3 linked regions of the Oryzias latipes genome follow. The protein of the gene in region 2 interacts with the protein of the main gene of each other region in a pairwise test. Links are inferred from orthologs where the notes say so. Each region holds a gene or a part of one and is shown on either strand. Other genes may lie near its edges. The genes, in order: ech1, pex5 and acot8.

Evidence for each region.
Region 1: the proteins of pex5 (region 2) and ech1 interact in a two-hybrid assay, tested with the Homo sapiens proteins (2 studies listed by BioGRID and IntAct, with this or other methods). The link is inferred for Oryzias latipes from reciprocal best matches to the Homo sapiens genes PEX5 and ECH1.
Region 3: the proteins of pex5 (region 2) and acot8 interact in binary tests that used the Homo sapiens proteins (3 or more experiments, as listed by UniProt). The link is inferred for Oryzias latipes from reciprocal best matches to the Homo sapiens genes PEX5 and ACOT8.

What each region holds. Positions count from the first base shown.
Region 1 is NC_019871.2:2,468,495-2,478,564, reverse strand, and holds ech1 (delta(3,5)-Delta(2,4)-dienoyl-CoA isomerase, mitochondrial), read right to left. Parts: upstream 5,065-10,070; 5' UTR 4,935-5,064; exon of another isoform or gene 4,863-4,934; 5' UTR 4,736-4,862; coding exon 4,708-4,735; intron 4,034-4,707; coding exon 3,868-4,033; intron 3,791-3,867; coding exon 3,702-3,790; intron 3,633-3,701; coding exon 3,508-3,632; intron 3,443-3,507; coding exon 3,394-3,442; intron 2,979-3,393; coding exon 2,914-2,978; intron 1,050-2,913; coding exon 979-1,049; intron 907-978; coding exon 835-906; intron 761-834; coding exon 610-760; intron 544-609; coding exon 439-543; 3' UTR 272-438; coding exon of another isoform or gene 236-271; 3' UTR 204-235; downstream 1-203. Other genes in the region: cep295 (centrosomal protein of 295 kDa), read left to right, coding at 71-170, 236-271; aamdc (mth938 domain-containing protein), read left to right, coding at 5,824-5,955, 6,020-6,115, 6,181-6,321; ints4 (integrator complex subunit 4), read right to left, coding at 6,605-6,792, 6,868-6,988, 7,062-7,205, 7,276-7,435, 7,995-8,051, 8,141-8,271, 8,348-8,428, 8,506-8,599 and 2 more. UniProt on the Homo sapiens protein: Isomerization of 3-trans,5-cis-dienoyl-CoA to 2-trans,4-trans-dienoyl-CoA.
Region 2 is NC_019874.2:20,506,112-20,515,641, forward strand, and holds the end of pex5 (peroxisomal biogenesis factor 5), read left to right. Parts: intron 1-138; coding exon 139-223; intron 224-687; coding exon 688-778; intron 779-1,006; coding exon 1,007-1,129; intron 1,130-3,458; coding exon 3,459-3,572; intron 3,573-3,908; coding exon 3,909-3,992; intron 3,993-4,283; coding exon 4,284-4,403; intron 4,404-4,584; coding exon 4,585-4,728; intron 4,729-4,957; coding exon 4,958-5,028; intron 5,029-5,239; coding exon 5,240-5,461; intron 5,462-5,581; coding exon 5,582-5,747; intron 5,748-5,845; coding exon 5,846-6,003; intron 6,004-6,195; coding exon 6,196-6,442; 3' UTR 6,443-7,196; downstream 7,197-9,530. Other genes in the region: cdca3 (cell division cycle-associated protein 3), read left to right, coding at 8,309-8,440, 8,528-8,645, 8,731-9,530.
Region 3 is NC_019863.2:23,240,014-23,250,136, reverse strand, and holds the start of acot8 (acyl-coenzyme A thioesterase 8), read left to right. Parts: upstream 1-4,275; 5' UTR 4,276-4,316; coding exon 4,317-4,498; intron 4,499-8,091; coding exon 8,092-8,228; intron 8,229-8,334; coding exon 8,335-8,560; intron 8,561-10,123. Other genes in the region: phosphatase and actin regulator 3, read right to left, coding at 557-674. UniProt on the Homo sapiens protein: Catalyzes the hydrolysis of acyl-CoAs into free fatty acids and coenzyme A (CoASH), regulating their respective intracellular levels. Displays no strong substrate specificity with respect to the carboxylic acid moiety of Acyl-CoAs.

The sequences.
Region 1 (10,070 bases), on a different chromosome or scaffold from region 2:
GCTGGCGAATAACGCCTGGCGAATATTCGTCCCGGTGTGTGCGGGCCTTAACTCCAGCGTCTGTGTGCAGACTCTACGAGCAACTGGAGGAGGTGAAGCAGCAGAGATCCTTCAGGAGCAGACAGGAGGACTATGCAAAGAACCGGCTGAAGGCCAGAGAGTTTCACATGGTGAGAACAGAAAGAAGCTGCTCCAGACCACAGCAGAGTTTAAACTTTAATGTTTGTCTTCACAGAAAACTTTACACAAACTTCGTGCCAAGCAGAGGTGACGACGGCTGGAATCGATTACCTTAAATTATGATTCTGAAGTTCATTAAAGCTTTTAAGTTATTGAAATTATGTTTCAGACACTTTCTGTTCAATTGATTTTAACAAAGGTTAATGTTTTAGTGGAAAAGATCAGTCAGGATTCCTCCACACAAAGTCCTTCTGACTCTCAGAGTTTGGAGAAAACCACGTCTTTGGGGCTCTTCTTCTCCATGGAGGCCTGGGCGGATTTCATCACGTCTGCCGTCTGCAGCATACTCATGTTCCACGTGGCCTGAAAAACAGAACGCCTGGTTATTGCTGCATGCTGCTGTTGTTTACGGTGAATGCAGCTCCTCACCATGTAGTTGAGGCCCTCAGCAACGCTGTGGTCTCTGGCGTATATGAGGTTGAGTTTCGTTCCCTGCACGGCCACCGGACTGCGAGCAGCGATCTCCCCCGCCATCTCCAGAGCTCCGGCCATCATGGCGTCCTTATCCACAAACACTCGACTGCACAGAAGAAGGTTTTTTTTCGCATTGAAATCCTTTTGGTGAGCAGGAAGGGAGCGTTGGTGAAGGTTTACCTGACCAGACCACAGCTTTTCGCCTCATCTGCATACATCTTCCTAGCGGTTAGAGCGAGCTCGTTCACCAGGCTGCAGAGAGGAAGATGAGCCACAAACATGCCGTAAAATGTTCCAGCCTTCTCTGCTCCTGAGGGGTCTCACCTGCTGCTGCCGATGACTTTAGGGAGTCTCTGCAGAGTCCCGACGTCTGCCGCCAGCCCGATGTCGACCTCCTGAAGACAGGAGAAACATCCACGCCGAGGAACATTTCAAAGATCTCCAGAGATTCATTACACGCAACACGAAAAGAAAAGAAAAGGTTTTTCATTCAAATGTAAACGAACAGAATGACTCCAGCTAAAGGTGCAACAAAGAACTTTCTGTTCATCACACTCAAAAAAGCAAAAGGTACAGTGTTTCTGTGGCAACCACTCTCCCCAATCAGGAATGAGCTTGTTGGAAGGCCACACCCCTACCACTTGAAAGTGGACAACATGAATGAGTTACAGGCTTTGAGACGTGGGGTCTGCAGGCTCCACCTACTTTTATGGAGGCATCTGATTGGTCAGTTTATAACTTTAACTACAGAAAAATTGTCATGAAAAAAATGAGGATTAAAAATTAAAAAAAAAAAAAAAAGGTATCAGCAGAAACGGAAGCAAGAAACCGGATTAATCCAAGACGATTATTTATGAGTCCACTGTCTTCCAAACATGAAAACCTTGAATGGGTTATTAAATTTTTTTAATTAAAATACATTTTCTGGCAAAAATTGTTTCAACGCAATGCATTGTGGTCTGTATTCGCCGATGAGCATGTGAGCATCAATGCACACTGGTTTTTCGCAGCAACGGCACTAGAAAAATGGTGACCACATTATATAGTGAGAAGGGAAGGAATTCGGACACAAAAGTCTACTGGATTTTGCAGTTAATTCCTGTTTAGAACACCAGGGGGCCATTTAAAATATAAATTTTTTTTTACACAAACTGGTGTTCAATAATAACCAAATGAAGCAATCACAGAAGGAAATAAATAACAAAAAAAAGAAATAAAAGGAAGAAAAACCAGAAATGGTTAACTTATGTCACTAATCCCAAAAATTTACAGATGTTAATCGTTTTATGAGCATTTTTACTTTTTGAAGCAGAAATTGATTTTAAATACTCGACAGCTCACTTTCTTTCCAATCTCATATCATCACCCGTATTGCTTAGTTTCATCTCCGCTGTATATCTCGTCTCCGCCCTTCTCTCACTCCTCATACAACTGGTGTACTTGTTCATAGTCTTGTCACTTTTCCAATTGATTATTGTGATTCCCTCCTGTTTGTTTTGCCCAATAAAACTCCCAAGAAACTGCAGCTTCTCCAAAATTCTGCAGCCCGCATCATCACTAGGACCCCGTTATCCCACCACATCACGCCAGTTCTCCAAAATTCACACTGGCTTCCCATAAAACAAAGGGTTAGTTTCAAGATTCTCCTCATCACCTTCAAAGCACTCCATCACCTGGCTCCACCCTACATTTCTGATCTTCTTCACATTTCCATTCCCTCCTGATCTCTCCGCTCCACTTCCTCTCTCCAACTCCATGTCCCACCTGCCCGTCTTGCCACCATGGGGGGCAGAGCTTTCAGTCGCTCCGCCCCCCAGCTTTGGAATTCTCTTCCTCCAGATCTTCGCAATACTGACCCCCTCCCACTGTTCAAATCCAAACTCAAGACTCATCTCTTCAAACAATCATACAGTTAATCCATTCAGTAAACACAACCACATTTGTCTGTTTTTCTATCCTGTTTTTATCCTGTTTAAACTTTTTTTCTATCCTGTTTTATTATGTCTTATTGATTTTTATCTTTATGTATTTCATGTATTACTCTGATAATTTCTTATTGATTTTTTTATTCTGTTTTTCTTATTTTAACCTTGTACAGCGACCTTGGGCGACCTGAAAGGCGCTTGAAATAAAATGTATTATTATTATTATTATTAAATGTTTCTGCAGTTCCAATTTCAGTAAGAAGAATTCAGTTTTTTTATTAGCCAATTTACTTTTGTGAATCTGGAATTTTGCCATGAAGAACAACATATTTACCTTGACCTGGAAGAAGGCGTCCTGGGTGCACAGGCGGATGTCACAGGCGGTGATCAGGTCAACTCCTGATGAAGCACAAATCTGCATTTACAGCAGATATTACAAAAACAAACCAACGAATCCTGTTGGACGCCAAAACAGGTGAGTTCAGCGTTAAACCACCTAAAGGTCTAGTTTTCATTTTCCCTTAGTCGATGTAAACACGTCATTCTTTATCATGAATGGAAAGCTGATCAGGTGACTGTTCAGAAATGGAGGAGTTTTTAATCCAATTCAGTTTGATTTATATATATTACAACACAGCTGTTTTATACGGAATGACACCAAAAACTATTTGAGTTTATTTGCACATTATGGAGGTAAACATAAATTAATGTGAGGTTAAAATATAGTCTTGTTTTAAATTGATTGTAAAAACTGATTTTGATTAAAGAGAAAGATTTTTTTTTCTTCTAAAGTGCAGTGTGGACGACCTCCTACCTCCACCGATGCAGCCACCGTGGACGGCCGCCACCACAGGCTTTGGACACTGAAACAGAACCGCCATCAGCGCCGAACTCGCAGATGAGCCTCACCACCATAAAGGACTCTGACCTTCTCGATGACGGAGAACGTCTCTTGGTACTTGGTGATCAGCCTTCGGACGTTCCACGAGACTCTGGCCGTGTCGTCTCCTTCTGGGTGGAGCATATCGCCCGCCATGTCCATCAGGTCCAGACCTGTCGTTCACACAGCAGAAAGTGACTCGTCTGACTCGGATCAGAGCTGTCAAAGTCAGCGAGTCCCACCTGCAGTGAAGAGCTTTCCAGATCCAGAGACCACCACCACCCTGCAGACCGGATCCTCTGCAATCTCATTAAAGCACTCCACCATCTCCCTGCAAGAGAACCAGAACTTTCCTCAGAGACCAGAACCCGGAACCCCCTGAAGAGTTCAGGCCCGCGAAGCTGGCACCTCCAGAAGGCTTTGTTCATGGCGTTGCGTTTCTCTGGTCGGTGCAGCTCCACGTGTGTGACGGCCTCTGTGGGCCGGCTGACGGCCAGCGTGGTGAAGGGGGCGGGGCCACCTGCAGACGACATGGTTCTGCACGCTACCTGAGCGGGTCGCCACAACCGCCCAGCTGAGCCGATAGACAGAAAACAAAATTAAAAGTTTGACTGAATTTCACAAAACATTTATACAAAAAGTTTGACAGCATATTTACAATATTGTACATATAACTGATAAATTATTTAACAGAAGATAAAAATTAGGTAGTTTATTGCATAAAACCAGTACATTATTTTAAGGAACGGCATAAATTAACTCAAATAAAGTAAATAAAATGTAGATGCGATACCTAATAGTAATATAGTAATCATAGTAATATGATTTATTGACTGTTTATTTATAAATTAAGATTTTTTAAACTACATGCATTTAAAAAGACTTTTACATTTGCTGAACTAAAATTAAATTTTTTCATTATTCAAATCAAATCATAAATCAAACAAATATTTATAATACATATTTTAACATTTACCCAACACATCTGATGCTTTTTCATCTATTAAAAATATATTTCTATATATATATCTCGTCAGATAAATAAAAAAGATTGCTAACTTCACTTGGGTAATTATTAACTAGTCTATTAAAAAGGTAACTGTACGGACTGGAAGTAGATTCAAACTAAAATTGCAGAAAAAACATAAACATAAATAAATACTACGTTGAACCAAATGGCGCGTGCGTCCCCTTTCACCCAGATTCACCTTCAAGTGAAGCAGAAGAGACAAAAGCATGAAAACTTACTTTTCAGGGCGAATCCGACCGACAACATGGACCTTTGACCAAAGATCAGTTCCAGCAGAGCAACCAATCACGCCCGGTGCACTGCAGGGTGGTAGTTACTCTGGAGGGTAGTTAGTCCTACTCCTAGGGGGTAGTTAGTTAGTCCTCTTCACCTGCTGCTGACCGAAAGCTAACGTTAATAATGCGCCTAGGCTAAAGTGATAATCATTTAAAAACTGAGGTCTTACCTACAATATTTCATATTTATGGACATCTAAAACAATATTCCATCAGTTTTGCTAAAAATTCAGATTGAGTAAGTAATTTGTTCTGCTTCTTCTTCTTCCTGGATGACGCAGGTTTGTTCATGCCGCGGCGGCGCACTACCGCCACCTTCCGTTCAGAATGAGACATTGAATGACAAATCTGATGTGTTTTTTTTACATGAAAAGCGAAAGCGATTATACTTTAAATACAAGAAATAGAAAAGAAAAACTTAAATGTTTTCATTTTATTTTATTATGTATACGTTGAAATAATTTTTCATTTAAATAAAGCAAACAATGGGTTATAGTTTAAACGGGTGATCACCCTTTTTTTAAAGGGTCTTTGATGAAAACAAATCCATTGAACACTAAACAAGTTTATTAATTAGTTTGGGTAACCATAACAACTAATGTTAAAACTTTTGAAATGTTAAAGTGTCAAAAATCGAAACTCTGGCTAAGAGTTAACAAGAAAATTGGCTTCTTTTGATTACATATTTTCAAAAATAAGTATTTTAAATAAATAAATTTATTTCTTGGACTTCTATGTGTTTTTTAAGAAATCCTACGAGAAAGTAGTTATACTGCGAAAAAAATCATTTCCCCTTTAAGAACATCAGGAGTAAGCGGGGGCGTGGCTTATATGTGACGCCACTGACTACAAGTAAACAGCAGCTCAAGTCTCCGCTCCAAGTTTTCTCATAAATCAGTACAAATAGCTCTGTATAAACGGTGAGGCTGTACCTTTTCCTCATTTTTGACAAAATAACCGTCTGTGAAGTCAGTTTAGGAGGTTCTGGTCTGGAACGGAGCGCTTGCCGAACCTAGCTTTGGCTGCTGCAGCTCATCAGTAGACCTGCTCCATTTCATCATGTCCTCCCCTGAGATCGCCTCCTTGTCATGGGGCCACATGAAGGTGAAAGGCTGCTCCTCCAGCTACAAGGACTGTAAGGTGTGGCCTGGAGGCAGCCGGGCTTGGGACTGGAGAGAGACTGGAACCAATGTGAGTGAACCAGAACCAGGAGACCTGAGCGGTGGACAGGTTCTCATGCTGCTCTCATCTGCAGCATCACCCAGGGGTTCAGCCTGCTGATCTGGAGGAGGTGCTGAAGAAGGGGGCGGAGCTCCTGATCATCGGCAGAGGCATGAATGAAGCTCTGCAGGTGAGACTTTGGTGAGAAACCTCTGACGTTTTGGGCTCCCACATCACAGCTGTGGTTCCTCTCAGGTTCCTCCCTCCACTTTGGACTTTGTGAAGCAGAAAGGGGTCGACGTTCAGGTCTTCCAGACCGAGAAGGCTGTGGCCGAATACAACAAGATGGCTGCGCAGGGCGCCAAAGTGGGTGGAGTCTTCCACTCCACCTGTTGAGTTGCTGTCTCTGGATCTGATGGGAATCCTATCCAGCTGAATCGCTTCTGGTTATCGAGTCTCTGGTGAAATGGTTCACTGCCGTGGAAACCAGAACCTAAAGAAAAAAGTTCTGGAGGACGGAACCAAAATGGGACGACAGACAATAGTTCCAGAAACAAAATAAACGTTTGAGATTCTTCTGCACGTCTCAGTTTCCTCTGCAGTACAAATACTTTATTATCTACAGGTGAACATGGCAGAGGGTTCTGTTGGGTCGATCCGGGTCGGGGAGAATGTCAGGTCAGCGCCGGGCAGGTTTAGGCATGATGTAAACTTTAACGGCTTTGCTGAACGGAATGGTTCCCTCCACGGCGGGCTCCGGGGGCGGCGGCCCGTCGAAGCTGTCGCTCCATCCCGTCATACTTTTGGAGGGAGAGGAGGAGGCGGAGCTGTAGGCCAGCAGGAGGCGCACTTCAATCTGTGAGGGCTCTGAGGAGGGGAGGAGAGGAGTGATTGGTATCTTCAAAGAGGTGAAGGGGGGGGCTGCGTGCTCCTCAAACCCACCTGTCCAGGCGCTGTGAGAGAGGTACACCTGTGTGATGAGTCGGTGCCGGTCGGGTCCGGGGTTCCTGAAGTCGGCGGGTTTGGGATGGATCACATGACTCTGGCCGTCTGGATACAGAACCTGCAGAAGAATCCGGTTCATCGTGAAATGAGATTTCTAGATCAATGTCGCTAGAAGGTGAGAGCAGCCTCACCTGCACTTTCACCGTGTTCTGCGGGTTCTGGACGTGCTCCAGCGTGGCGTCGATGTCCAGCGCCAGCACCAGGCCGGTGGTGAACCTCAGCGGGTTGTCCGACTCCCCGGTGGGCTCGATGATGGTGGCGGTCGCTCTGTGGATCTGTTGGGAAGAGCGGGAGTTAGCGGGCCGGTCTAAGAGCGGGCGCCCCCCCTGGACTTTGCCGACCGACCCGTTCAGGAAGCCGGAGCTGCGGCACGCCGCTCTGCCTCAGCGTGGCCTGCAGGATCTTCACCAGCTCCACCGGCTTGCAGGACGACAAGCGGGGCATCAGCTCCAGCAGCTTCTCTGCAAAGCTGTCCTGGAGGTGGGGCAGCTCCGGCAAGAACTGCCTGAAGGAAGAGAAACACACCGACTGAGGGGCTGAACTCCAGGACCGCTTCAACCTTTAACCTCAGAAATTCAAAAAGGTCAAAAAGAAACAAAAACGTCCTGCAGCAGCGACGGTCTTTAAGGAACCTGAAGATGATTCGTTTTCTTCTTTCTACAGACTGAGGACATTCAGAGGGTCGTTCAATAGGATTTTGTTTGTTTAAAGTACAAAATTCTTAAAAAATATTTGTCTTTGACCTTTTATAGTTTTTTATTTTTTAACACTAAATACGTTTATATATTATCAAGTAGAAACTCTTTTTTATAACAAAACAAAAAATAATTTTTGAATTTAGAAAAGCTACCACTGCATCCAACTCATGTTTTTATATAAAAAGAAAAACTTTTTATATAAACTCTATGTGTGTGTATATATATATTATATATATATATATATATATACATACACACACACACACACATATATATCTGATGAAAAACAAAGATTTGATCGTTGAAAAGAGTAAAAAACAAAAAACACTTAAGGGTACCAAAGGGACCAACAAACAAGGCGCTGACCTCTGAAAAGATTCCACTTCCTGAAGAAACTTCTCGCTGCTGACCAGAGGATCCAGTCTGGGGAGAAAGCAGAGCGTTTGATTCCTCTTATGATGACTTCTTGCGTGTGTGTGTGTGTGTGTGTGTGCGGCGGCGGCTGCGCTGACCCTTGTCTGGTGCGAGCCGTCAGGATGAGCTGCAGAGCTTTGGCCTGCAGTCGGACGTGGTGGATGGTGGCCACCTGCCGGTTCTCCAAGCCGCTGTAGAGAAACTCCAGTTTGTAGGTTTCCTCCACAATCTGAAACCACAGCTGCTTCGGTCAGAGCTGCTGCTCCTACAGAGGCGTGCGTGCATGCGTGTGCATGCCCACTGACCTGCTGAGCTGCGGCCGTGGCCGTGACGTTTTGTTTGAGGCACAGAGGGACGGCCGTGTTCCACAGCTTCTCCTGCAGAGCCTGGAGGAACGAAGACTTGTGAGTTTTTACGGCTTGAGGAAGCTTCTGGAAGAGGCCTGCCGGCGTTCCTCTCCCACCTTCATGAGCAGCAGCTGGCAGCGCAGGTACGTGGCGCAGAAATCCGCAGCTCCAGCGAGTTCAGTCTGCAGCTCTCCGAGCCGCTGCAGGTCTCTGCGGGACAAACGGGAGGAGAGCAGCTGAGGGAATGTTCACACAGCCGGGACGGAGGATTCCTCCGGACTTTTTCCTGGTTTTAAACCACGTTTTTGTCAAACTGTGCAAATGTATTAGTTTTTAAAATTTTGGTGAAACTTTACTTTAGACGGTAAACTCAGTAATATGATGATCATTAAAATACTTTTAAATTTTTGGAATTATATAAAACCAAAGAGTCAATCCAAATGTTTAGGAATATTTGGAGAACAACAGCTGTAAATGTTGAAATCTTTGTCATGGTGGGTGGTTTTTCTGCAATTTTTGACTTTGGTCGTGAATCTGTGAATTGAAGGACACAGTCATCTCCTGCTGGTTGGTGGTTTATGCAACAGAAGGAGGCCCAACACTGAGCCCTGAGGAGCTCCTGTGGCTCTACATTTGCTCAAAGGACTCGGCATGCGATAAAACCATCTATGTACTTGTAAAGATTTAAAATCACAGACACGTTAAAGGTAAAGTGCCAGATCATCTCCTAGAAGCTTGGCGTTCCTGTGATTCCAGCTGCACAGATTCTTCAGAAGTTTACGCTCCAAACGGCTGCAGGCTCTAAAAGTACTTCCTGTGTGTGAAGGACTTCCAGTGTGTGAAGGACTTCCAGTGTGTGAAGGACTTCCTGCGTGTGAAGGACTTCCTGTGTGTGAAGGACTTCCTGTGTGTGAAGGACTTCCTGCGTGTGAAGGACTTCCTGTGTGTGAAGGACTTCCTGCGTGTGAAGGACTTCCTGCGTGTGAAGGACTTCCTGTGTGTGAAGGACTTCCTGTGTGTGAAGGACATCCTGTGTTTGTCCCTACCGTATGGTGAAGTCCAGCAGGTCCTGACCTCCAGGGGTTTCCAGGTTTTGGATGGTACTGACTCTGTGAAGGCTCTGCTGGAGGAAGAGTTGGGCCGACTCCACAGAACCAGAACCAGCATCCGAGTCCACGGAGTCCAGACTGTAGACCTGCTTCCTGCCTGGCAGCTGAAGCGGGAAACAGTTACAAGGGGGTCAGCGTTGAACCAGATCGTTCACCGTTTATACACACTTCAATTTCTTCAATTCCTTTTGGAAACGTTTTTAAATTTCCTGCATCTTCTGTCATGGAGGACATGAAAGGAAGCCCTCACCCTGAGAGGAGGAACTAGGTGGGACAGGCTGTCCCTCAGGTAGGCGTAGTGCCTGAAGGTGTGGTCAGAGAACAGCGCTGGCATGGTCGGACACGACTTGGCGGCGTTGAAAACCAAAACCAGAACCGCAATGTCTGGGATCAGCAGGAGTGAAGAAAAGGAACAGAGAAAAACGTCACCTCCACCAACAAGCTACAACACCCGGAGGAGCCGGTTTGAAAAATAAAAGAGGAGAAAATCCGTTTTTAATGTGTTAATTCATCATTCTAGTGGGTTTTGAATAAATGAGTGTTTGATCAGAGCTGGGACGGCTTCAGCCGTT
Region 2 (9,530 bases):
AACATGAAATATGCCTTTTTACAACATTTAGGTTGTGGGATTTTGATTCAAAACTTCAGAATTATAATCAAAACACAACATTTTTTTAATTGTCATAGGGGGACTTTAATTTATTCTGTTTAATGTATTCCTCTCCAGACCCTGGACGCTGGGCAGAGGAGTATCTAGAGCAGTCTGAGGAGAAACTGTGGCTCGGAGACCTTGGAGACAAGGAAAGTGAATGGTGAGAGGTGGGCCATGCAAAGCGTGTGGATAATAAAGTGTTTGCAGGAAAAAGTCCTTCAGGCAAGCATCAGTGAGTGCGCAGTGGCAGCCTGACACCCCTACAGGAACAAAAGAGGAAAAGCTCCAAGGGAGACAAACGATAACAGATCTGAATGCAGATTTAAACCTTGAACGCTTTCTTAAGCGAATGTGTCGTTTTATGTCCACCCATTTACTTTTATCCTCTTCTAACTTTATGCATTGAGGCTAATTGTACCCAGAGCTGTCCATGCATACATATAGGGCCGTCTGAATTCTAAAGCTAATGTATAGAATATCGGCCTTGGCTTCTACTGACGTCTATTGAAAGCACAGCCTTCAGCAAACCTGAGTATTATCTCCAACCTACATAAAGAGAAAATAACAGAACAGTTGCTCTGCTTCTATTACAATCTTGTGGTATATTTTGTATTTGTCTGGCAGGACTAAAGAGTATCAGTCAGGAGAAGAGCTGAGGCAGACGGCAAATGAACTTGTTGCAAAGGTCGATGACCCCAAGTTAAAAAACACAGAGGTGAGTGCTGTCCTGCTCTGTCATGAATCAGTCATGTATTTTTTCCCTTCATATCTGTCGCCTTATTGTTTCTTGTTCTTTAGTATTAAGTGTTGGCTTTATAACCATTAGAAGAGTCATGTAAAAACAACCAATTATCCCCAATTAAAACCGCTGCTCAGTAACAATTTTGTGATATAAAGTTTTTTTTCTTTACTTTTTTTTATTGTTCCCCTCATTGTTGTGTAGTTCCTGAAATTCGTTAGGCAGATTGGCGAGGGAAGTGTGACAGTGGAGAGCAGAGCAGACAAACAGCTCACAGATAAAGCTCAGGCTGAGGAGGCTCAGAACTGGGCCTCCAACCTCAACCAGGTAGGAGTCACTGGCCTCTGAGGATGGTATTGCTACAACTAACAGCTGTATGTTTTGGGGGGGGGGATGAAATTGGTTCATGTTGCATAGGCTATGCAGTGTGACTCACCTCCCCAGTATCTGATGCAGTGCACCATTTTCCATGAAGGTAATCAAAAGCAGCCACCAGTTTCCTAGTAGTAGGAATCTCAAGGCTGCGCAGTGCTGAAGATCCAATTTGTTTTGAAAAGAAGAACTCGGCACGATTAGCTTTTCCTCTTAGAAATTTAGTTTAGGTTTAATAATAAGTTTAAGGTGTTAAAATGGTGACTCGAGGCAATACGACTTTCATACAGGGAATTTAAAAAGCTTTACAGTGATTGAAGATTTTGCCAGAGCAGCTTTGGCTTTGAATCTAACCATACACATTGTTGGCGAACATCTGAGCTGTTCAGCTTGTTGGTAGCAAAAGCTCAGTGTTCCATCAGTATTTAAATTTACTGCAGCTCAGAAATAAAAAAGTCCCTTTCCAATCATCTATTGATCAAAGTCTTCTCAATAGCTTTTAACTATGATTATGCTGTTTTTAGCCAAAATCAAGAAACCTGCCGTTTTCCAGGACATAGTTTCTGGAGAGCAGCAGGAGTTTCCACAAAGCAGCCCCGCCCCCTCTTCCCCTCCCCGTTGATGTAGAGCTCAGAGGAGGGAGCTTGGTTATTTTCTACGTCACAAATAAGGTCTTCTTCCAACTGCATTATTTTGTCTGCATCTGATTCACAACAATTTCAATAAAGAAATCCTCAAATTCAATTTTAAGCTTAACGTACTTAATATATGCCTTCCATAGAAAAATCATGCCGCTAGAAAATGTTAAAAACACGATTTCCATTGGAGTGGGTCTTTAAGTGAATGTCACATTTTAGAAGTCAACTTTTTTCCCCAAAAATACAGACATCCTTGGCCACCAACAAAAACATAAATAAAATGAATACAGTAATTATAAAGCTAATGTAGAAGTGAAGTCAACTGGCTACGCTGATTGAAAAGAGGTGCTGACATGACATTTTTCATTTTTGCGATCATGTTTTGCATCTTACACTTTTTTTAAGAATAAAAAGGTGACTTTTCATTCATCTTCTAAACCCATTTTATCCCTTTCTGGGTGACGGGGCTGCCAGAGCTTATCCCGGCTAACTCGTGGGCAAAGGCAGGGTACACTTTAAACAGGTCGCCAGTCTGTCTCAGGGCCAGAAATCACACACCCATGCACTCTCACATTCACACCTAGGGACAATTTAGAGTAACCTATTAACCTATGAAGCATGTTTTTGGATGGGGAGGAAGCCGGAAAACCAACTCCACACAGAAATGTCCCCCATTGATTCTGTTTCAGGTCCCCCAGCCAGGACCTTTTAAGACATGAGCCTTCTTGCTGTGAGACAAGAGCTGTTAAAAAGAAGTTTATAAGTCATTGAGAATGTATTTGTTACAATGTAACTTCATTTTTAGTTAACGTTTTATCGACAAACTGGTAGTTTTCAGTACAGTACCCTCGTTTATTGCAGGGGCTACTTTCTACAAATAACCTGCGATAAACAGAATCTACAGGATTTTTACTTTTTAATATTAACACTGTGTTGTGTGTTTAAGGCTGTAAAACCTCACTACAAACTTTAACATTCTCACACATTCTCTCTTGTTTTAACTCTCAAAGATTCAAACCTTTGTAAAACAAAAACAAAAAAGTCTGGCACTTCCGATTTTACGCTGGTAGCAAGCAAAGATTGATGTAAACTAGTCAAGCTGAACGCTTTCTGTAAAGGAGATGCAGCATGAGGCAGATTGATTGATAGTGGTCTACAGCCAATCAGGATGCAGAGCACAATGTGCTGTAAAAATGAAAAAACGTTTTTAAAAAATCAGCAAAACCCCAAAAGGTGAATCACATTATTATAGCATGGTACTGCAGGGTTTAGTGTCCAACTTTGTTTTTAGTGTCTGCTGGTTTCATTTATTCATTCATTATCTGCTGATTTGACAGGATAGACTATCTTCCTGCTGTTTAGCACGTCTTATTTGCTGAAATGTTGCCTTCTCAACCCAAAGAAAAATAGACTATCCCAGTTAGATTAAGTTTAATTCATAATCATGCAACATTGTCATGTGCTTTGCTCATTTCGGCTTGCCATCCCCTTTCATGTTTTACATTTGTCATGTAACATAGACAAAAAAAAAACCACACAACTCTGTTCCACCAACCACCCCCAAAAATTTTCCCTACCCACCGCTTCCTTACCCTCAAATCATTGCCCCATGTGCCTTCGCCAAACCCTTCCACCTCACGTCATAGTTCCTGGTGGAGACGGGGGGAGGAAGTCTTCCCTTGGAACGGCAGGAGATGAGTCAGAAGATTGAGAAAGTTAAAGCTAAACAAGCAGAGCAGTGGGCCAAAGTCATCAGGCAGGTAGGACCTTTGCAGTGGCGGCAGCACTAGGGATATAGGGGTAGTTGTGCCTGTTTTTTATTAGAGCTTTGCTTCTAGTATTTTTTGATAGATTTTTATCTGTCATTTAGACTCTTAGATAAGCCCAGCCGACATTCATTTAGCCTTTTCAGGCTTTTTTTTTTTAATAAGCAAGGAGTAGGAAAAAGGCTTTTTTCCCCTTTTGTCATTCCTGCTGCTTTTGCAATACTTGTGTTGTTATGTTTCTGCTTGAAGCATCCCAGATCTCCATTCTCATCAGATTTCTTAGCTAGTAGATTTCTGTCATCCGCTGCCAATGGTTTTATTGTTCTACAGGTTTCAGAGGAGTCGGCTGAAGCATGGGTAGATGAGTTCACAACAACAGGGCCGGATTTTCATCAAGCCAAAGCTGCAGTGGAGGTGAGCCAAACTTTTTTAAGTCCAAACCCAAAGCTTTTGTCCGATACTCAGGAGATTTAGCTCTTTTTGTTATAAATTTAGAGGAAGGAGGAGAAATCCAATCAAGAATTTTATCTTAATATGTCCTTATTAAAGCAAAATAATCCTGTTTTAGTTGAAGTTATTTCTTGACACGGTCGTTCAAGCCATCCACGCTTTTCTGTGGATAACAAAAGTCAAATAGTGTCTGCACTGTAGAGAAATGATTTGAACTGTGTGGGAAACTGTAAAATGGATGTGTCATTTTGTCAGAGTGATGTGGATTTCTGGGAGAAGCTGCAGCAGGAGTGGGAGGAGATGGCCAAGAGAGATGCAGAGAGCCATCCCTGGCTGTCTGACTTTGATCAGTTACTCAGCTCTTCTTATGACAAGGTAGCTGTCAACCTCCTCCATGCTCGAATCCTTTGAGAAATGGTGCTGATGTTGAAACCTTGTGTTGTATTACATTCTGCTGTAAGCCCGAGAGGTTCTTTTGTTTATAATTTGTCATTGGATTCATCATCATCAAAACATTTTGACCAGTTTGGTTGTGTTTTTTTTCTGTTTACTTTAGGGTTATCAATTTGAAGAAGACAATCCTTACCTGTCCCACCCAGACCCTTTGTCAGAGGGGGTTAAAAGGATGGAGGCAGGGGACATTCCTGGAGCCGTACGGTTCTTTGAAAGTGCGGTACAGAAGGAACCAGACAACCAGCTGGTGAGATTTCCTGTTTTTAGTTGCTAAACATTTATTTTTTTTCATTTTGTAATGGAAAGAGTCCACATTGAGTTTGTGGCATTTCTTTTTAACAGAAAGCAAAATATGGTTTTATTAAATTACCAATAGTAATTCTTTTTCTTTTAATATTTTTTTTTATTAACGAGGTTTATTCATTTAAAAGGTGAGTGTGAAATAAAGTGTATCTATTTTTACGTTTAAATTGCAGGCTTGGCAATATCTGGGTACCTGTCAAGCAGAAAACGAGCAAGAGTTTGCTGCCATCAGCGCCCTCCGCAGGTCAGAATGCAGAAGTGAAAAATCCAGCCTACAGGCTTAATGTTCAAAGCAGAAATCTGTCTCGCCAGGAAGTGCTGCAAGTTTAAGTGCAGTAAATAATATTTAGCTAAACCATTTTCTATAATTCTGTTTTAAGCAATAGGTAGGAAACAAAAATATATATTCTAATTTCTTTGAGTGACATTTTTCCTCCTCCCATTGTTATTTTTAGGTGTATAGATCTGAAAAAGGACAATTTGACAGCACTGATGGCGCTGGCTGTTAGCTTTACGAATGAGTCGCTGCACAGGCAGGCCTGTGAGACTCTTCGTGACTGGTTAAAGCACAATCCTAAATATCGCTCTGTGTGGGAGCAGCATGAGCATGAACGCCAAAAAGACGGTCCTGGAAACAGGGAGAAGGAGAGCGAGAGGTTCGGGTCCCTTTTGCCAGAGTGAGTGTGGTAGATGAGGAAATTTAAGCCTCTAAATATTTATGTATTTATCTTCTTTTTTTTTGCGTGGCAGTTTTAACTGAAATTTTTCCACTTTTTCTTATTGGTTATTTTACACAGGTCGCTATTTACTGATGTTCAGTCCATGTTCCTGCGTGCAGCCAATGCAGACCCCACCCAGGTGGACCCACAGCTGCAGTGTGGCTTAGGAGTCCTCTTTAACCTCAGTGGAGAATATGACAAAGCGGTGGACTGCTTTAGTGCTGCCCTCTCCGTCACTCCCCAGGTTAAAGCAAAGATCCTCTTCTGAGATATTCATAACGTACTGTGTGTGTGAATTTTTTTTTTATTCTGCTTTTTGCCTTTCTTTTTTTTTCCTGACAGGATTATCTGTTGTGGAATAAACTGGGAGCCACTTTAGCTAACGGAAGCCGATCAGAAGAGGCTGTGGCTGCTTACAGGAGAGCTCTGGAACTTCAGCCAGGTTTTGTCCGCAGTCGCTATAATTTGGGAATCAGCTGTGTTAACTTAGGTGCCCACAGGTGGGGAGCCTTTTAAATTTTGTAAAAAAAAAAATTAAAAAAAATCTTTTTGTTTTGTTTATAATACTAGTTAACCAAAACTAGTTTCAAGCAAACATATCAGAATAAACGTAGTTGCTCTTTGATAATAGTTGACTGAATGGGATTTAAATGTTGCACCATCTAAAATTTTTGTTATTTTTAACTTCGCAGAGAGGCTGTGGAGCACTTCCTGGAAGCTCTGTCTCTGCAGCGGCAGGCTGCGGGTGACGGTGTGAGAGCTCCGCAGGGCCCTGGAGGTATCACAGGAACAGTGATGTCTGACAACATCTGGTCAACCCTGCGCATGGCTCTCAGCATGATGGGCGAGAGCTCTCTGTACGCAGCAGCTGACCGGCGAGACTTGGATATGCTGCTGGCTCATTTCAGCCAGAGGGACGCTGATGGTGGGACGGAATGAGGACCAGTCAGGGGAGGGTTCATCAAGTGTGAATGTGCTTTGCTGGGAGATAAATGTTTGGATGACTGAATAAAAATGCTGAAACCTAATGGTTTGATGTAAAGAAACATGCCAGAGGAAGACACTGTGATATCCACTGTGCTAGACACTATTTTTATCATGTGGTTATTTGTGTAGATGACCATGTTTACCAGGTTTGCAGTATTTGTCAGTGGGTGGAGGGAAGCAGCAAGCGAGAGTTTGTATGAACAATTGAGGTGCAGTAATACTAAACCTTTGGAAGATAAAATAGGCAAACGCATGAGTAATTTCCTTGTTTTCTGTAGTAAGTGGCGCCAAGTCAGACTGTGCTCACTCTGGCACGTGTGCAGACGACGGTACACGGGTGATGCAGCGCTAAAAACAAGAGCAGCTTCAAGTCAAATGATTTAGACTACAAATTTATTTTAATTTAAATTAAATTTTCTTTGATAATTTTTCTGCCATCACCATATCTAGAATACCAGCAGGACTGTTACTTGTATTATGTTATGGTTGCTTGGGAGGGGGCATTTAGTTTGGGGGAGGGTACCTTTAAATTGCCCTCTTTCCTGTATTTTCTCTTGTAAAACAAATTTTGTTTCATTGTAAATAGCTGCATATGCCATAATGTTGATTGTAATATAATGGTGCACTACAATTGTGTTCAGGCTGCTTGTACCCTGACTGCAAGGTTTTAATATAATATTCGGCAATAAAGCTTTGATTGCAGATATCTGGTTTGTTGGGTCTTGAAACATTATCTGCGGGGAAAGAATAGTCGTAGATGATGGAAGACTGACCATTTAGGAAACCAGAACATACATTAAATAAGCACGTGCTATTCGATGTGTAGTGGAAAAGTAGAAACGAGCATATATGTACGTAAATAAATTACTTTAATGCAAAATTATTTATTATAATGATCGCATTTGCTTGATGGCAGAAAGTTTGCTTGATGGCGGTAAATTTCCCAATTGAAAATGTATTTCTTTGAAAAGTAAATGATAAGCTAGCTGTGCGGACATTTTTCAACGGTCAACTGTGTTATCAGTGGTAGCCACGCCCAATATTAATGAGGTACAACTTTTAAGCCAATGAGCACTGCGTAGTTAAAGCGGAAGTGCTTTCTTATTGGCTCGTTTGAATGTAACAACCACGCAGCCCACGACATTTAAATGTTTTAAAAGTTGAGTGTTCCTGTTTATGTCGTTTGTCTTGGATTTGTCAGTATCCGAGAGGGTCGGTGTCAGAGTGCGATTTCTTTGTCTTGTATAAGGTATGTTTGTTCAACATTTTGGTCAATGTCCGTGAAATATGTGTTCTTGTTTATGGTCATAAGGTCATTTAGCCGCCGTTTGGCTAAAGATAGAAGCACATTTTGAATTAAATCGTACTTGTTTATTCACGCTGACTTAGTTTAGTTGCCAGTTGATGATCTTTGCATACATGTCTAATTCACATTTGAACGTTTTGTTGAAGAACAAAAATTAATTAATTAATATTACTTAATATTATTTAAACTGTAAATTATGCTGTAGAAAGGAAATGGCAGATTAGAAAAACCTGAATATTACTCAAATGTGATTCCTACTCACTGAATGCATGTTGTTTTTACCATTCAGTACACATACTTTTAATGAAAGTATACCTTTTTCAAGATACGTAAAAAAATATATTTAAAAAATATATAAAATTTCCAATTCTATCCTGAAAGTTTACTAAATTGTACAGAGTTAGATGTGAAACATACTGCATGTTCATAGTTGTCGAAGTTTTTTATTTTTCTACAAATCCACCTGACTTGCTATTTATTTCTTAAAATTATGCAGGAAAAATAAAATCATTATGGGATCAAGTGAGAGCAAGTCGGCTGTGCCAGCAGAGAAGAAGCCAGAACCAGCCTTTAAAAAAACCCACATCAGCCATCTGGTTGATCCTCGCTCTCCCTCAGGCGGCATAGATCGAACACCCATTCAAGTGAGGTTATTTTTTATTTTGTTTGCATATTTATTTGCTGCTGCAACTGCAAATTCTAACAATTCAATTCATATTTGTGCATCTTAGGTAGGAGAACAGGAGTCCAATGTTTCTCAATTAAAAGGCGAGTGTCCCCTGGCCATAACAGATCCTCGCTCACCTACAGTTGGCATAACCCGCACTCCTGTCAGAGAGGTTATGAGAGGTAAATAATTTTTTTGAATGAGCCTTTAATCTTCCCCTGTTTTGCTAACGAAGTCTGATTTTTACCTTTCATTTTCTTCTAATAGCAACAGTTGGGTCTTTAGCTCGCCGCCTTGGTATGCTGTTCCACAATGAGACTGAAGGCAAAGCTGCAGAAGGCCCTCAGAAACACTTCACAGATGCTGTTGAGGAGGTCCTTGAGGGTGAAGAACTGGCTTCCACTGTGCCACTGCTCAATCCTCACTCGAGCAAAAACTTTGGCTCGTTAGCCGAACATGCAAATCTTCTCTCCACCCCTGTTCATCCATCCCTGCAGAGTGTCTGCAGTCCCTTTGTGCTTCTGGAGCATCCTCAGGTCGAAGTGGAGATAGAAACTGAGACGGATATTACCTTTGAGGAGGCCGAAGAAGCAAGCGCGTCTCCTCTTAACAATAGACTGAGCATGAGCCTGATAACATGCCACGAAGGGGCAACTTCAGCTCAAATCTACGCTGATGTGCATCACGAAGCGAGCTTCTTCACAGAACCTAGTGTTGAAGTGAAGGCTCTCGGGGACGGTGCTGATCATTCCTATGCCCTTCCTTCTGTCATAGTTAAACCAGAGACATCGGAGCCCCCGGCTTCTTCTGATGTGGACCCATCTGCTGCTCCAATGCCTTCTGCAGAGCCAAAAAAAAAGGAGAACCTTCCATCTTCTGAAGGGCCTAGTGAGCTCGGTGGAGAATTTTCTGTGCCTTCTGTGCTAAATAATCAACCAACTCCTTCCAAACTAAAGCAGCCACCGGTCAGTACTGGAATCTGTTGTCCCACCTTTGACCCGAGGAGTCCCAGCCAACTGGAATTCAAGCCGCAGTGGTTAGGTAAAGGCTTTGGTGCCACTGGATTA
Region 3 (10,123 bases), on a different chromosome or scaffold from region 2:
TGCTTCGCCTCTGATGATGAATTCCAAGATGCGATCAAAGCAGTGGATTTAATGAGGTTCGGTGTCAACCCACTGCATTTCCCCTCATGGCTGGAGACGCTGAGCAACAGTGATGTCTGCAAAAATCCAATTCAAACGCAGTTGTGCATCACTGATTGCATTCAGGAGGGGGGGAAGAAACTGGAGCAGACAAACGGCATGTTGGCTTACAGTAGGGCCATTGGGATCACCATGGAAACAGCTAAATACACCTGCCAGCCTCCATGAAAAGGGGGGAGCTGTAAATTCTTCATGGGCTGCAGCAAAATGGACCACAATGATACAGCGAAGGATTTGGCAGCCATGGCAGCATCATGAGGAGGAGCTGCTCCTTACTGCAGCAGACATGGATGACACCAGTTGGAAACATTTGACAGCATCATTGAAAGGACCACACACACACACAAACACACACCAAAACCCGCATGAAGCTGCCTCGTGACGCGCGTTCACAGCCTGCGTGCACACTCAGAAAGGAACCCCAAAAATGAAGACAGATGATGCGGCTGGACGGTACCTGCTCCCGGAGCATCCCCCGCGGCCGCGCGGACCTCCGTGATGCTGCTCGGGTCACTCCGGGATCTCCCGCGCCTCAGCGCGCGGTCCCCGTCCAGCCCTGTGGACGATGACGCCATGGTGGAAGCTGGAGAGGCGACAGCAGCCAAGGAGCCAAGGTCAGCGGCATCAAGTGGCGGAGCAGACTCACCGTCTGACTGCTGCTGCAGCCGCGCAGGGAAATCCGTTACGCGCGCAGCATCGTGTCACCTTCAAGGGCTGCTCGGAAAGAGCAGCCCGCTGTATGGAACCCCAATCTTGTCAGCGTGATTTAAAAGTAAAAAACAGGAATCACTCTAGCATAAATCTTTGTCTGTTTTTTTTCAGAATATGATTTATTTAAAAAACCTGTCAATTCATCGAAAGAAAGAAAAATCAAAATATAATTGTCTTGAGACAAGACAAAAACAAAAAAGAAGAGAAAAAAATACATCAAATCAAAAATATTTATGATCATTCAATTTCACATAATTCCAGATAATTATAATCCATTTCAATCCAGATCATATCTGGATCCTCAGCTGTTTTTTTTTAAATAGCCCAGGGCCACCATAAAAGAAATTAAATAATAAATATATGGGAAAATGAAACTGAAGATAAAAAGGCAAAATGTTATGAGAATAAAAAAAATTATCTGAAAAAGTAATTTTTGGAATAAAGTTGTGAAACTTTGAGGAGAAAAAAGTCAAAATTTAAAAGCAAAGTAGTAGTAAAATCAACAATGGGCATTGTTGTAAAATATAAAAACAAAAGTCAATATTTTATGAGAATGAAGTCATCAAATCGTGAGAAAAATTTCAAATTTCATGAAATATGTTGCAAATTTGTTAGAGAAAAGTAAAAATTGTGTGACCAAAGAACTACAATTTCGAGAAATATGTCAAAATTTTACAATAAAGGAAGTTGTAAAATTATGAGTAAAAATGTCAAAATTTTAAGAAATAAATCATAACATTAAAGTAATAAAGTCGTATGTTGGATGTATATACTTTATTTTCTTATTCTTCTATCAACTGCTGTTTGAAACTGTGATTATAGTCTGTTTGACCTTACATTGAGTTTGCAGTGCTGGAGTTTTTCTGCGTGGAAAAAATATGCATCAGATGAACAAGGAGTGTCGAGAAAACAGTTAAAGATTAGAAACAGAACTGAAGAACTTTCCACTGATCCTCCCATTTCTGCTGTGAGAAGAAATGAGAACTGCTGACTCTGCATCCCATAGATTTCTTTGTAACCAAAACCCATTTGTTGAATGAAAGGAGGACGTCGGACAGACATCTATAGAGCTGCTTGGGGCAGTGGTGTCAAAAGGTTGTCAGTTTCTGGCTCTCCTCACCAGAAATCTTACTGGGCTCCTGATTCTGTTCTTTAATACTGTCTTGTGTCTTCAGATATAACCTTGCATTCATTCAATTAAGAGAAAAAAGTTTCAACTTTATGAGAATAAAGTTTTAAAAGTATGACAAAGAAGTTAAACTGTGAAGACAATAAAATCAAAATATTAAAATAATAAGGCCATAAATTAATGAGAAGAAATAGTCAGAATTTTACAAGAATTGAGTTGTATGATTATGAAGAAACAAAATTCCATGTCTTAAGGAAAAATAGTCATTAAAATATGGGAATAAAGTCAAAACAATAAAGTCATAAATGTTTGAGAAAAAAGTCAAATTTTCACAAAAATAAAATCAACCAATTATGAGCAAAAAGGTCAAATATGAACGATTATAAAGTCTAGAAGTTATGAGAAAAAAAGTAATAAAATGTATTTGAATTAGATCCTAAAATTATGAGAAAAAGGTCAAAATTCTCTGAGCAGTTTCTTTCCACGTATTACTGCCCTGTTACATCACAGATGGTTATTCTTCATCACTCCTTTGGATTTATCTCATCGTTTTCTTTCTTTTAATTCACAGTCACAAATCCTCCACCACATCCATTCATCACTCTCCACCACAAGCTCAAGCCTCCAGATCCAGATTGCCTCTCCTTTAGTGTCTCTATGGACACCGTACCCTCAGTCTTTTTGGATGGCATCCCCGACCCGTCTGTCCATCACCTTGTAATCCCTGCTTCAGAGATCCATGGAAAGAGACCACACTGATAATACACACGGTAGTAGCAAAGGATCAAAAACGTTATCAGAGCTGCTTGTGGCTTTCTCACATGGTTAACAAAGACATAAAGGAGCTGCTCCGCACATTCAGATATCTTCTGTATTCTCCTTCAACTCTTCTTTTCATATTTCTTAATTCAGATGTTTTTCAAGCGGCCACCAACTCCCAACCATCTTCCAACTTCTCCTCCTTGTACGGCGAAAATACCCCATCCTCTCTTTTCCACTAACTCCTAGCCAAGACAGAAATCATGAAAAATCACTTAAAGAAAATTACAATCGAGTTTCCTCTTTAATTTTAGCTAATAAAAGGCTGAACAAAAACCATTTAAACAAATGTGGCATTTCCTGATGCTAGACAAAACATCCTTTATGTCAATCAAGTCAAACTTTATTTATAAAGCATTTTTTAGACATATGTAACACAAGAGATTTAAGTATCCAGAAACTGATTCAGGAGTTGGTCAGTGTTGTCCAAAAGGTAAATGTTGTCCAATGGGGTTGATCAGCCAGAAAAAAGAAAAACAAAAAGGATACTCATGGAAAAAGAACTCCAATGAAAATGGTGTTTTTAACATGTTTTTGTAACATCTTACTCATGATGGATGATATTAATAAAGACAATTAGGATTCAAAACTGCCTTTCTCAGTATTTCTTTATTCAAATAGTTGTGCATCAGGAGCAGACAAAAAAATGCAGTTTAAAGAACTTATAGATGTGGCGCAGCTGTTATGGTGGAAAAGCCACAAGTTCCCTGCTCTGCTCCATTCTGATGCATCCACTTGTAGACTATTTTAAATCTTTAGATTTAAATCATGTTTATTTAGGCAAACTGGCCTTGTTGATGGCAAAATCCTAATTCACACAGCCCCTCCACAGGGTTCTGTTTAACTGCCTCGATATTTTGGTTGATCTCTCCCCCCACATAGTTTTTTCTTTGCATTTCTATGCTGATGACAAACAAATCTTTTTGTATCATCCGCCATTAGATGTGGCAGTGTGATCACACATCTCCTACTGTTTCAAAATGTTCTCCTTAAATGGGAGAAACACATCTTCACATCATGATCCTTCTGCCAGCCCTTTCAAACAGCACAGCTTCACCGTTAACATTAGGTTCTGAGTGACCATTGATTCTGCTTTTCTTGGCCTTAAACTGACATGTATTAATCAAACCTTTACTGAAAACAACAACGTAAGCAATTTTTCCTTTTATTTAAAAATAAATGGAGGTCTATTTATAACTACTGTGCTCGTTTTTTGATCTATTGTAAAAGCATTCCCAGTAGTCTTTTTTATTATGGCTATGCCCTTTTTAGGCGAAATCAAAAACACGTGTCGTTTTCTGGGACATAGTTTCTGCAAACCGGCAGGAGTTGTGGGTGAAAAAAATTAAATCTAGGTCTGACATCCAAAATTGTGTTTAGCTGTAATTTTTAGCATTATGAGACTATAAAAGCTACATAGTTGTTTTTTAATTTAAATGCCCAAATTTTAAACTTTAAAAATAAATATTTAGTTCTAAAGTGTAAAATCAAAAGTCGCCTGAAGGTGGCAGCAGTGAAAACGTCAGTCCGTTGCAAGTCAAAGAAGAAGAAAGTCGCCATGACTAACATTAAAGTAGAGGAAAAGACCTCAAAATCGGGTTGTATTTCAGCTCTAGAAGCTCCGACAATGTCTGGAAATGACGGCGCAGACAAAGCTGAGTCTGGGTTCACGCAGGACTTGAAAAGCGTTCTTGTTACCAGCGTTTTAAACCTGGAAGAGCTCGACATCGACCTGTACAGGTAACACATAGTACAGAGTTCCGTCACTTTTTCCTGAAAAGAAACGCGCAGTTCAGGAACATCACGGAAAACTCAACTATAAAGTAACCCGTTAGCACGGCAGACAGGTGTATGACCAAACGCCGTTCGTTTTTGTTTTCTAAATGCTAAAAACATCTAGCTTTTTGCCAAGGAAACACTACTTCAATTTAAACGATCTTTAATTTATTGCTTTTCATTATCCATTTTTATCAACTTAAATTATTAAGTTTGTTTCATATAAAAAAAACACATATTTTTTATAATTACGAAACACTGAAAACGTCAGAGTTCGGAACTGAGCTTCTGTGTATTTAATTTTCTCGCTCTTTTTGCTAGCTTTATTCCTGTCACTGAAATGAAAACCAGGATTTTTAACTCCTTTACATCGTTCTTATAAACTATGTTTTGTATTGTGTTGTAATACATCAAATTCAACTAATTCAAAAATTACCGTGTGATACATTTAGTGATGTTTTGTTGCGATGCTGACGTCAGTTTTGATTGTTTTTACTTTTATTTTGCAACTAGTGGAAGTTTATTTCGGCTTTTGGCTATTTGAAGGCTGTTTCCGGTGTTTCTCCTGTTGACTTTTGTTCGGGAGAATGACATTAAGTTACATGGGCTGGGAATAAATATATTATATTATATTATATTATATTATATTATATTATATTATATTATATTATATTATTTATTTATTTATTTCTGACCATCATTGCATTTTTTTTTAACTTATCTTTTTCTGTATCACTTTCGCCTGTACGCAGAGAAGTCAGCTCTCGCATCCTTAACTCCTCCACAGCTGAGGTCTTTTCTAATGCTTTTAACCTGGTCCTTTCTCCGTGTACTGATGTTAATACTTTATTATGTAACTTTAACCGTTATTGTCTTTCCATCTTGGATGAAGTCTGTCCTGTTAAAACTAGACTGGCTCCTGTCACTAAGGTTTCCCCTTGGATTAACAATAGTATTCGCCGTCTCAAACAATTATGCAGGAAAGTTGAACGTTTATGGAAAAGAACTCACCTAAATGTTCATCTCCTTCATCTTAAGGATCTTTTAGTTTCTTTTAACAATGCTGTTAGAGATGCGAGGGCTGCATATTTCACTAATCTCATTTCCAAAAGCAGAGGTAATCCTAAAGTGCTGTTCAACACTATTAGTGATATTGTTATGCCCAGTCCACCTGCCGTTCCCATCCATTCAAATGATGATTGTGAAAAGTTTTTATCATTTTTTATTGAAAAGGTCAGATCTGTGAGAAGCTCTCTGTGTCACACAGCTGGTCCTGGCCCTGGTTCTTTTCCTGGTCCGCCTCGTCCTGTGATTTTAGACACTTTCTCGCCTGTTTCCCTCCCTGAGCTAGTCAGATTAGTTGGCACAATGAAGTCATCCTCTTGCTCCCTCGACACGTTGCCAACTTCTCTGCTCAAAGATGTCTTCCAGTCCATTGGTCCCTGTGTCCTGTCAATAATGAACTCGTCTCTGCTGTCTGGTCAAGTCCCTGAGCACTTTAAGGAAGCTGTTGTACTTCCTCTCCTTAAAAAACCTGGGCTTGACCCCTCCCTCTTGAGCAGTTTTAGACCCATTTCTAACCTTCCTTTCATGTCTAAAATTTTAGAAAAGGTTGTTGCCAAACAACTTACAGCTGCTCTCGACAGTCATGGGATATTTGATCATTTTCAGTCAGGTTTTCGCAGAGCTCACTCCACTGAAACAGCCCTTCTCAGAGTCACTAATGACATCCTGATGCAGGGTGATGCAGGAAAATGCTCTGTGTTACTGTTATTAGACCTGACCGCAGCCTTTGACACTGTGGACCATAACATCCTCTTGGACAGGCTGAAAAACTGGGTTGGGGTCTCCGGATCAGCCTTAAACTGGTTTTCATCATATTTGACTGGCAGATCTTTCTCTGTTGTCTTCTCCAAGTTTAAGTCTTCTTCTGCTCCTCTCACTTCTGGTGTGCCCCAAGGCTCAGTTTTGGGACCTTTATTGTTTATTTTATATCTGCTGCCTTTACAGCATATTTTAAGTTCTTTTAATGACATTTCTTATCACTTTTATGCTGACGATATTCAGCTTTATGTGTCTTTTAAACCCCAGGATGTTTTTAAAATACAGACTTTACAAAAGTGTTTGGACTCAGTTAAGAGCTGGATGAATCACAACTTTCTCCAACTCAATGAAGCCAAAACTGAGGTCCTAGTTTGTGCTCCTGACAGTTGTCTCCCCAAGATAATCCATGAGCTCGGCTCACTTGCTTCTTTTATCAAGCCCTCTGTCAGGAACCTAGGTGTAACTTTAGACCCGGTTTTATCCCTGGACTCCCATGTCGGGTCACTCGTTCGCTCTTGTTTTTATCATCTAAAAAACATTGCAAAATTGAGTCCAGTTGTGTCCCGTTCTGAGATGGAGATGCTCATTCACAGTTTTATATCCTCCCGTCTCGACTATTGCAACTCCATCTTCACATGTTTAAGTAAAAAATCTCTAGAACGGCTCCAGATTGTCCAGAACGCTGCTGCTAGGCTTTTAACCAATTCATCCAAGTTCTCACACATCATCCCGTTGTTAATGCAGCTGCACTGGCTCCCCATTCACTACAGAGTGCATTTTAAAATCCTGGTCTTAACATACAGAGCTCTTAATGACCAAGCACCAGTCTACATAAAAGACCTGGTGCAGCCATACACTCCCAGCAGGTCACTGAGGTCATGTGACCAGGGTCTGCTGGCTGTTAAGAGAACCCGTTTAAAGACTAAAGGAGACAGAGCCTTTGCCACGGTGGCCCCATCCCTCTGGAACTCTCTTCCTCTCAGCCTCAGATCTGTGGACTCGGTGTTTTCTTTTAAAAAGCAGCTAAAAACATATCTTTTTAAAATAGCTTTTTCTTAATTTCTTTTTAACATGTGTTTTTACTGTGTTTTACTGTTGTTTTATCGTGTTGTACTGTGAAGCACTTTGTGATTTTTATCTGGAAAGGTGCTATACAAATAAAGTTTATTATTATATTATATTATATTATATTATATTATATTATATTATATTATATTATTATATTATTAGGGGTGTGACGATAAATGCATCACCGCAGTTTATTTTATTTTTTTAAAGTTCTACATATAGTGCGTGATTGGAACTGTAACAAACATATTAAACACATTGATCTTTGCTGATAATTTACTTTTTCTGCTAGTCCTGTGTTCAGACTTTAAGGGCTTTTGGGGGAATCCTTTTATTACTGTTTTCCTTCACTCCCTCTTCTTACACACGCGGCGGTTTCAGCAACACAGGAGACAAATTTACTGTGTTCTCATTATTAATTTCCATTGTATATATTATATTATATTATATTATATCATATTATATTATATTATAATTGTTTGTCATAACAAATATAGCAGCACCTTTTCCCTTTAGCGTTGTGTTGCTAAACAAAGAACAATGTATTTTTGTGTTGTTTTTTTCCCCCCAAAGGCTGCAGATAGAAAGGATTTCTGGTTCAAACATTTAGCAAAGATCTCTGACATCCTTGACTTATGTTTAGCAGTTTTTTTTGTCGTCCTCAGGGGAAGACATCACTGGGTGCCCCGCACTCAGAGGCTCTTTGGAGGCCAAATCATTGGTCAGGCTCTGGTGGCGGCAGCCAAGTCTGTTGGCGAGAACCTATACGCTCACTCCCTGCACTGCTACTTCGTACGAGCAGGTGGCACATCAACTAATGCTTTATTTTGCAGCACCAAAATGTAATAATCTATAGATAACATTTTTTTTCTCCTCTGTTTTTCATGGACGTGTTGTTTTTTTAACAGGGGACCCAAAGGTTCCAGTGCTGTACCAGGTGGACCGCACCAGAGATGGCCGCAGCTTCACTGTTCGCTCTGTGAAGGCCATCCAGCACGGCCAGCCTATACTGATCTGCCAGGCGTCCTTCCAGGTGCTGCAGCCCAGCCCTCTGCAGCATCAGTTCAGCATGCCCGTAGTTCCTCAGCCAGAGGAGCTGCCCACTGTGGAGGAAATTATCCACCAATATCTCAGGTACATTAATCCAGTTTAGTAGTTTGAGATCCCCCAAAGAGATTTTCAGAAAGAAAAGAAAAAATATTTAACAAATTATTTGTATCTTTTTTCTATTTTTGAAGAATTAGCTATTTCTAGTGGAAGCCTTCCTGCCATTTTTGGTGTGGGTATGCAGTAAATAGATCTACCTGAGCATAAAATTCACAACAAAACACAGCGTGAAATATAACTTAATTTTATTTTTAAATAATTAGAATGTTTGCACTTGAACAGCTGTTAAGCGTGTTCAACTACTTTCTTTAGCTAATTTAGCATCATTTAATTTAGCTAACCTGTCCAACATGACTTTTTATACCTGTCAAACGTTTACTTTAGCTATGTTTTGCTAACACATTAGCATACAATCAGCAGTTTTAGCATCTCATTAGGGTCTTCCTTTCTTTAGCTAATTTAGCATAGTTATTGTTTAGCTTTTTCAACTTGCTCAGCGTACCGAGCTTATTTCAGTGGGTTTTAAGTTTTTTGCTTTATAACATTTTAAGTGCAACAGATTTGTTTTCTCTACACTTTTAAAGTTTATATTAAATTTATATTGATTTAGCATTTTTAGCAACATGAATGTATTTTTTTTTTTTTTTTTTTTTTTTTTTTTAAACTTGTCCTGTCCAACAGCTAGGCAAACAGATGAGAGCTGAGGGCCTCTTGTGTTGGACATATTTTATTTTAACAAGAGGGGTTATTCATCTTCAGACAAACCAAAGGTATGTCTGAATAAACCCCTTTTGTAATTGAGGCCAAACTTTATTAATTTCAATCATGTTTGAAAATCTTTGGTGTTGGACCGGACGGAAAAGGAAAGAGGGGAAGAAGAGAGAGGGACGTTAGAGAGAGGGGGGGGTAGGAGGGTGATAATAGGAGGGGAAGGGGGGTAAGACCATGAAGCAGCATAGAGCAGGCAGGTTTACTGGTTGTTTATCGTTACGGTACGGTTCAAATGTAGTACAAAAAGGGCGGGGCCTGTTCACACACACTCAAATATTATCAACACACCTGCTAGCCGCAAAAATGTCCACAGGTCAACATGCACACAAAACAGATAGTGTTCACGAACGCATACCTATGCCTTTAAACCAACTAGTGTGAAATCTTTCATTCATTCAATCATGCAAACTATTAGTGCAAAGGTGAGCTAACACCTGTGCTCAGGTGAGTGTTTATGTTCTTCTAAAATGGATGGTGGAATGTGAAAAGAAGGAGGAGGAGCGCCCAGCCACCCCCACACCCATACCCCCGCCGCAGCAGCAGCGGCAGCCGGAGCCCCCCCAACGCCACACGGGAACAGGCAGGGAACAACCGCCCCCCGGGCGACCAAGACCGCCACCCAGGCCAGGGCCAGCAGGACCGCCGCGAGGCCCCCAGAGCCAGAGAGCAGGGAGGCGCAGAGGGAAAGAGAGCGCCGCCCCAGCCCAGCCAGGAAAGCAGCCCCCCGCCGCGCCGGAAGAGCCCAACGCAGGGCCCCACCGGAGAGGGACGCCCACAGCCCCAGACGAGCACCCCACCACCACCCAGGAGTTCCGGGCA